Mytilus edulis: one gene and its partner. The protein of the gene in region 1 interacts with the protein of each later gene in a biochemical or structural test. Links are inferred from orthologs where the notes say so. Each region holds a gene or a part of one and is shown on either strand. Other genes may lie near its edges.

Region 1 (3,937 bases):
GGTGGCATCCCAGGAGGAGGCATCATAGGTGGTCGCTAATGAATTGAAAAAACACAAATATTTTCAAGGGTTTTACTGAATTTATCAATTGCAAATTCTTTCATCATGTTCATTATTCTTGATTTTTAATGTTATAATTTCTGTTAACTTGAGTTTTTAAAAAGAAATTAACATTACCGTTACAGTCTGGCCAACATTCAAGTTTACTCTGAGGGACTTTTTGGAAAACTTACCATTCCTTGCATACCAGGTGGTGGTGGCATCCCTGGAGGTGGTGGCATTCCTGGAGGAGGAGGCATACCCTGATAATTCTGAGGTGGTGGTCCACCAGGCCCTCCTGGATGAGGTCCATAATTTGGATCAAATGGAGGTCTTCCAAATGGAGGTGGGCCTCGCATTCCTGGTGGGGGTGGACCCCTCATTCCAGGTGGTGGGGGACCTCTCATTCCAGGTGGTGGTGGGCCTCTCATGCCAGGTGGTGGTGGCCCCCTGTATCCTCTTGGAGGACCTCCTGGTCCTGGTGGACCTCTAAATGGTGGTGGTCCTCTGAAAGACATTCATTTTTTATTAATTACAATGAACAGAATTATCATATTTTAAGAATAAAGACGTCATTAAAAAAAAAGTTCTCAGTCAACAAAAATACTGATCTAGACATAACATAGATTTTTCAACATCAAATTCCAGTTTAGTTTCCTGTCAAAACAATGGCGACAATCACAAATATTTTTTGTAAAACAATGTGTTAGGGACTCAAGGGATACATCCCAGTGACTCACAAGTTTCAAAAGTGACACATTCAGCTGGATTTGTACAAGTCCAGGACAAGTATACACGTCTTAACGAGAACCTTGAGTGAGACTACACATCAGAACTATTTAGAGTAAGATTATTTCTGAATCTTAACTCTAACTGACCCCAATACTTTTAATTGCCTTGCCAAAATATTATTCTTGAAAAGGTGTTAAAGTGTTCTAATCAGACTTCAAGTAATCTGCTACAATAGTACATTATTGACTCAATTTTGTACTATTCAGATCAACACATATACTATTACTAGATTACAACAGGGATCTCCATGGCCTGTTTAAGGCGCCATCTTTCAAATGTCTTGCGTCATTGTCAAATGACTCGCGCCATCGTTCAATTGTCTTCCGCCATCGTTCAAAACTGTGATCGTTTTTATAGCCTGACGCCATTTTTTTTAGCAATTATAATTAAATGCATGAAATTACATAACCCTCAGGTTTTGTTTTTTTTTATAGTATAATCCAATAAAGTTCAAACGCCTGAGGGATATCCGGATTAAGATCGCTAATCACTTGTACCCGAGCTTGTTCAGGTAGATCAACAAACCAGACAGGAGAATATTATCTGAAGATAGACGATTCATTTGTCAAATTATTTAACTAAGTTTCCACAAATGCTTATGATAATTCGGATTAAATAAATAAATTAATAATCCAGTTACAAAGTTTAACAAGTCGACCACGTGCTTTAATTTTGACTTACGCAGCATCCCCCTTTTTAAGAAGTAAAAAATAAGACGTAAAACAGTAATTATTATTTCATCGCAAATAACTCGAGTACTGCTGTATTGTAACGATAATATAGAATTACTTTAAAAGTTAAAGAGTAAAAACTTTTAATATTTCTTGTAAAGAAATATCGTATCGTAATTCCGAATTCATTTCGTAGTTAACAATCAAATTGATACATCCGCGTTTCCGGTTTCTATTCAGACTCAAAAGATGAATGTTGCATAGCATCAATTTGCTAGATAAAGTCAATAAAAACCTTTTCATTTGACAACGTTTGCTTTACAAATCTTTTTAACTTTTACATAACCTGTACGACTCGTTTTGTCGTTGCTGCAAACCAGCCATACCGGTAATGGGTTCATGACTTCTGAATTTGACAGTGTCCGTGAAAAAAAAAGCTCCACATGATTTTTAACCCAAATAACAATTACCAAAAATAGCAAGAAAACTACATGGGGACCTCCGTGATAGCTATTGGTCGTTCTTGACTAAGGGAAAGGGAGGGGGCATGAGGGCTTGGCCTTTGAAGGGTTGAAAACGGCAATTATTGAAAATATGTATATACTTCTATTTAGAATTTATAATGAAAATTCAAATAAATATAATTTAAATAAGCAATGAATTAGCATGTTCACCTATCCTTATATGGAGGGATGAAATACTTCGATTGCGCTACACTGTACGGTGAAGATACGGTTTATGATGGTGAAAGTTCCTCCATCGTTCAATTTTCATCCATGGAGATCCCTGTACTTGGGAGTAAAATTCAAAACTATAAAATGTATGAACATCTGTTGCTTGCGCAAATATTAAGTGGATGCATGTGTAACACAGAATCAAACTTTAAAATTTTCAGGATTTTGGTCATGTGTATAAAGAATTAAAGAACTTCAGTGCATGATTGTCTCCATAGAAAAAAAAAACAGCAAATGATGTGGATTTTAATAAAATTGTGCGTTTTAACGGCTGACTTATAGTGACAGTTGTTCAGGAAAGTTAGCAGATTTATTCTTTTTGTAAATAATAAATAGAGAAAATTTTACAAAAGGGGGAAGTCCATGTCATTTTTGGTGAAAATTTTTGATAATTTTTTATCTCCATTTGTTGCAACATGGATGCGCACATCAAATCAAATTTCAAAGTTCATATTGGACTAAATGATAATATTGTCGCCTACGGAGCAGACAATAGTTTGGCAATTAAAATTATCCATACGCCGGCAACTGGATCAATTTTTAGCAACAAAGATGGCCGACCATACAGAACATAGCTTTCATGCTTCAGTTTTGGTACCTTGGTCCTCTCATATATCCTCTGCCACGCGGAGGGCCGTTATATTGATTTCTGTGAGATCTGAAATCACGATCACCATTGTCTCTAGGCCCATGGTCATGATGATCATGTTCATTTTGTTCATCGTCGCCCATCTTGTCTGGTCGCGTTTTTGTAGGCTAACTGGTTCCGATTTTCCAGTAGGTACCAGACTTGGTAGACTAACATAGGCTAAACTTGTTTCATCCTACGTCGTCGTCCGGTTTTTAAAGGCGTTTCGATCATACACCAAGTAATACTACTTCGGCTTTAGTCACGAGCGACAGTGTTCGAATAACGTCATATTAGAATACTTCTTCGGCTTTGGAATATAAAATATTAATATTGTCACGATTTTGGGACATCTCGGACCAACTAGTAAGACGAGTCGAACCGTCTTCACAATCACACTATTCTCGATATTGTCTCGATGTTAAAATCTAGGTTGAATTCGTCTATAATGCCAGCTCAGACAAATCATATCAAGAGACAGAGCTAATGCATATTTTAAAAGTTAATATGACTGTTTTTCGCCGAATGTAGGACAGAAAGTCACAGGACAAAAAGTCACAGACAAAAAGTCACAGGACAAAAAGTCACAATTCATTTTTTCTGATTATTTTCTTTGAATAAAAAATGCTTATTTTTACAAAAATATTTTTGTATTTTTCTTGATGTATTGTATATTAACCAACTTTGTAAGCAAAATTTATCAAAAAAATATCAAAGATGATCAAATAGTTGTTAAGAAAACAAAATGTCAAAGAAGATTGGCACTCAAATGGCTTCATGGTGCCAAGAAATATGTCTTTTGCATGATTAAAATAAAATAAATCTTCATTTTTCAAGTAAAATGATAAATTCCATTAACTTTAATATGAGTATATGTATTAAAAAGTAAATATTTCAAGATATTTCTCTTATATATTCCAACAGAGACATATAATACAATATTTATATAATTGTATTATATGTCTCTGATTCCAACAATTGTTGAAAAAATATTTGTGACTTTTTGTCCTATCAAATTTGTGACTTTCTGTCCGTTTACCTTTTTCGTCATCTTGGATTGCAAATAACCAATC
Region 2 (3,937 bases), on another chromosome or scaffold:
ATCCGTAAAAACGGACATTTAGGCAGACCTGACTTGACGATAATAATTCGCCAGCAAGACACTTAAGTCCCATGTTCTCCCAGTTAGCATGCATGGACTGCTGTAACTATAGGGTAATACTTGATTGACAAAGTGACACAGTCTGGTTAATGTTCACCTCTCAAGCTCGTTTTAAAATCGGAAAATAGACGGAAAATGACCATTTTTCAGTGGGGGTGGGTTCAAACCCACGAGAAAATCTTCCACCTCCCACCCCACCACCGACCCATGCCATCCGCCCCCAAATTGCAATACATAGTTTAATAGATGAGCAGCAGTTACAGCATCAAGAGTCTGCTAATTTGCATATGATTGCAAATTTTCGGAAATGCCTGATTTTCCAGAAATCTCTTAGGGGTGAATGAGTTAAACTAAAATTATTTTTTTTCCCGATTTTCAACCTCTAAAGACTGTTTTGGTCAGTTTTACACCCCCAAAACTACCCTCAAACCCAACAGAAGTCAAATTTAAAAAAATTGACCAAATCGTTTAAACTATAACCACTAAAACAGTTGTTTCAATTTATGTTTTCTTTATTCATTTATAGTTACAGAATTATTTTTTTCCTTTTGTGCCAAACAAAAATAAATATGTGGTTTCAGTTACTCAACAATAAGTCAAATGAATGAATGGTTCATTATAGTGCAACCTGTATATATACAAAACTCAATATCTAGTACACAAAATTAACTATTTTTTTTATTATTTTAAGTAAAGATAAAGTAGCAAAAGTAGCAAAAAAAATCAATTTAAAAACTTTTTTATCATGTTTATGAAATTCATTGTTTCATGGCACTCAATGAATTAGTCCCAGTTGTTTATTATCTTTACATCAAAATGATATGTATTTTTAACAAAGTTATCTAACAAATAGTCTGTTAATGCGTAGTTTTCTCTCTTGGTATATTTTTTCTGTCTACTGTCCATCTGTTGTCATTATCGTCAAAATGCTGATTTTTGTCATATCTGGTCCGGTTCCTATCCGTAGTTTACACAAAAATGTGCAATGGCGGCCGTAGAAAAATTTACGAAAATGAGTCCGAGAATAAACATTGTTTGACAAGAGATTGTGAATGAATAAGACGCTTTTAATGCATTGAATGGATTAAACATTAACTTAAGCCAATTATGATAACTTGTTAAAGAAGTATTAAACTTATTTTAGCTCTAAACCAAAATTCTCGCTCTTGTATTACCGGAAGAGAAAAAAAGTAATTTTTGGAGAGTTGTACAAACGGCCTGGGGAGAACACTGATTCTGTTGGTTTGTAAAGAAGAATTTTACAAGCACAAGAGCAATTTTACAAGCCAATGACGTAGGACTTGTGGTTTAGCATGAAGACTGGCTGCTAGGAACTCCACTCTATATGCCATAACTTCACATGTACATGTAGTAAATTTTTACAGGGAATGTGTGATTTAGCAATTAATACCCCAGCCCATTTCATGTGCACAGCTAGTCAAAATAATTATGACACCTTGAAAGGCCATGTTTAATTATAGTCGCCGTCAGCTGAAATTCGTAGCGGTTATCGGTAAAAATAATCTAAACTATCAATCGCGTTCACTCAAGATATAGTTTTTCATATTCCATTCATAAATCGCATAAAGAAAAACCACTACTGACCTACCTTTTAAGTGATCACACTGTAATAATCCTGACCTTCACATTTTCCAGAATATTTTCCATTGTAATTCCGCCATCTTCGTTTCTATGAGGATCATTTGTTTACATATGACATTCGTCACTGTACGCAGATTCCTGAAATGTTCCTTTCATTGATGTGATAAGGTTTCCCGCGCTTTATGCAAATTTTATGAAATTGAACTCCACGGAAACACTTCCGGTAAAAACAATGGCTGATTCCACCATTCAAAATCGTCTATGAAAAAGTGAAGGTCAGGATTATTACAGTGTGATCACTTAAAAGGTAGGTCAGTAGTGGTTTTTCTTTATGCGATTTATGAATGGAATGTGAAAAACTATATCTCGAGTGAACGCGATTGATAGTTTAGATTATTTTTACCGATAACCGCTACGAATTTCAGCTGACGGCGACTATAGAAGCTGATTTAAAATTTGTTTTATTGGGGCATAGATCTTGTAACTTTCTAATTTAAAATTTCCAAAGGCAAGTCTTTAGTCTTTAGTAAGTGTCCCAAATGACACTGTAAACACTTGTGTACGTTTCCTCTTTTGTAGTTTCTTCACATATGTAATGTTCACTCATGTACTTAAGGTCTGTTTTCTGGGAAAATGTGAAAATTTGGAAACGAGTAGTTCGAGTCAAGGTTAGATAAATTGGACATATAGGCTATGAAACTTTTAAACTGATAAAAATATGGAATGTTTAGCTTTGAAATATGCTCACTATTTCCGTAATCATACGATCTTTTGGTTGACTGAAACATTTTTGGTCCGGCAAACAAAACAATGTCGTGTAACAAAATGGCGTAATCAAAGTAATGCAAACGTTTCTGTGATAGCGACGTCCAAGAACCAAAATAGACACCAACTGAAAAGAGACAATAACGTACAAAAATTAACGACATGAACTAAAAGGTGGAGTGGAGTGGAGATACGGAGTGAAAACATGGAGTTAGGAAATAGAGTGTAGTGGAGTTGTGTGTTCAAAATTATACCAATATAATTCACCTTGGATGAGTCATGGGCATTTTTTAAGGTTATATTTCGGCCAAACAATATTAAAAAACCCCATGATTAATGTTAAATAATAGATTTCTATAATTTAGGAGGGGGTCTTTCAGCAATTTTACTTTAGTTAACAACATTCTGGTGTAATTAATTTTACTTGCAAAGCAAAGTTAAAATTATAAACTACTAGTATTAAAAAAAAAAAAACCCAGCATCAACAGAACAGTCTTTTGCAAGAAAAACGACACTTGGCTTCTGTATGTTTCAACTGAAAAAGATATGAATTTGCTTATTTGGTAAAAGATCTATGTATCTATGGCATGTCAATATACATGTATCATTCATTTAAGTTATTTGCCCCCCACCCCCGCATAACACATTGCGAGGGGCATGTAAATACCGATGATCCAAGTGTCTGTTCATCTGTGTGTCAGTCCAGTCTTGTTAGCGCTCTCACGGGTGTAATTCTTGTCAGATTACTATTAAACTTAAATATACTATAGGTTAATATATCTGTAACATCTTGGGCAAGTTCTGTAATGTGGACGATCTACTTTTTAAAAGATTTATGCTCTTTGGAAATATAAAATATATGCAACACAGGTGACATTGGAACTCTGGTCTTTAATTAAATCAAGAATAAAAAATTTGTCTGTTTGACATAAATATATAGTTTTATTCAATGATCAATTAATGACTTTTTCTGGATTTCAATATTTAACCTGTCCAATGAAATTTTGGTCTTCACATCAGCTTCATGGGAAAATCTTTTAAACTTTTAGGTCACCTCCAAAAATTAGAACTGTACTGACAATTTGTTGACAGACATTGAATATAGATAGAAAAGGTCATGACATTGTATTTTATCAGTAAATTATTTATCACAAGCAATGCTAGAAAACAATTAAAAATATTTTGAAACAAGGCAGAGGTTAAATGTGTCACAATAAATCTTTAAAATGTGATTTAAGTTATTTAGTATCTGAGGTTATAGTAATGACAGTTTTATCGGTTCTATGGGCAGGCGATGGTGGCTAGATACATTTTCCTTATCTATTTTTAATTGGAAGAAACAAACTATTTTAAATAGTACAGCCATTAAATTAACATGCAAGATAAAATCTAAGTGAAAATGTTGATTGACAATTTAATTTTATAATGATATCATAAGCCATTGTTAACAAAAATATTAATAATTTTATCACAAGATGATTTTTTAGCCTCTGTTTGGTTCTAACATATT

What was found.
Region 2: the proteins of transcription elongation regulator 1-like (region 1) and splicing factor 1-like form a complex in vitro, tested with the Homo sapiens proteins (3 studies listed by BioGRID). The link is inferred for Mytilus edulis from reciprocal best matches to the Homo sapiens genes TCERG1 and SF1.

The regions. Positions count from the first base shown.
Region 1 is NC_092347.1:74,834,952-74,838,888, forward strand, and holds the start of transcription elongation regulator 1-like, read right to left. Parts: upstream 3,032-3,937; 5' UTR 2,969-3,031; coding exon 2,835-2,968; intron 547-2,834; coding exon 234-546; intron 36-233; coding exon 1-35. UniProt on the Homo sapiens protein: Transcription factor that binds RNA polymerase II and inhibits the elongation of transcripts from target promoters. Regulates transcription elongation in a TATA box-dependent manner.
Region 2 is NC_092352.1:75,383,694-75,387,630, reverse strand, and holds the start of splicing factor 1-like, read right to left. Parts: upstream 2,602-3,937; 5' UTR 2,592-2,601; coding exon 2,411-2,591; intron 1-2,410. UniProt on the Homo sapiens protein: Necessary for the ATP-dependent first step of spliceosome assembly. Binds to the intron branch point sequence (BPS) 5'-UACUAAC-3' of the pre-mRNA. May act as transcription repressor.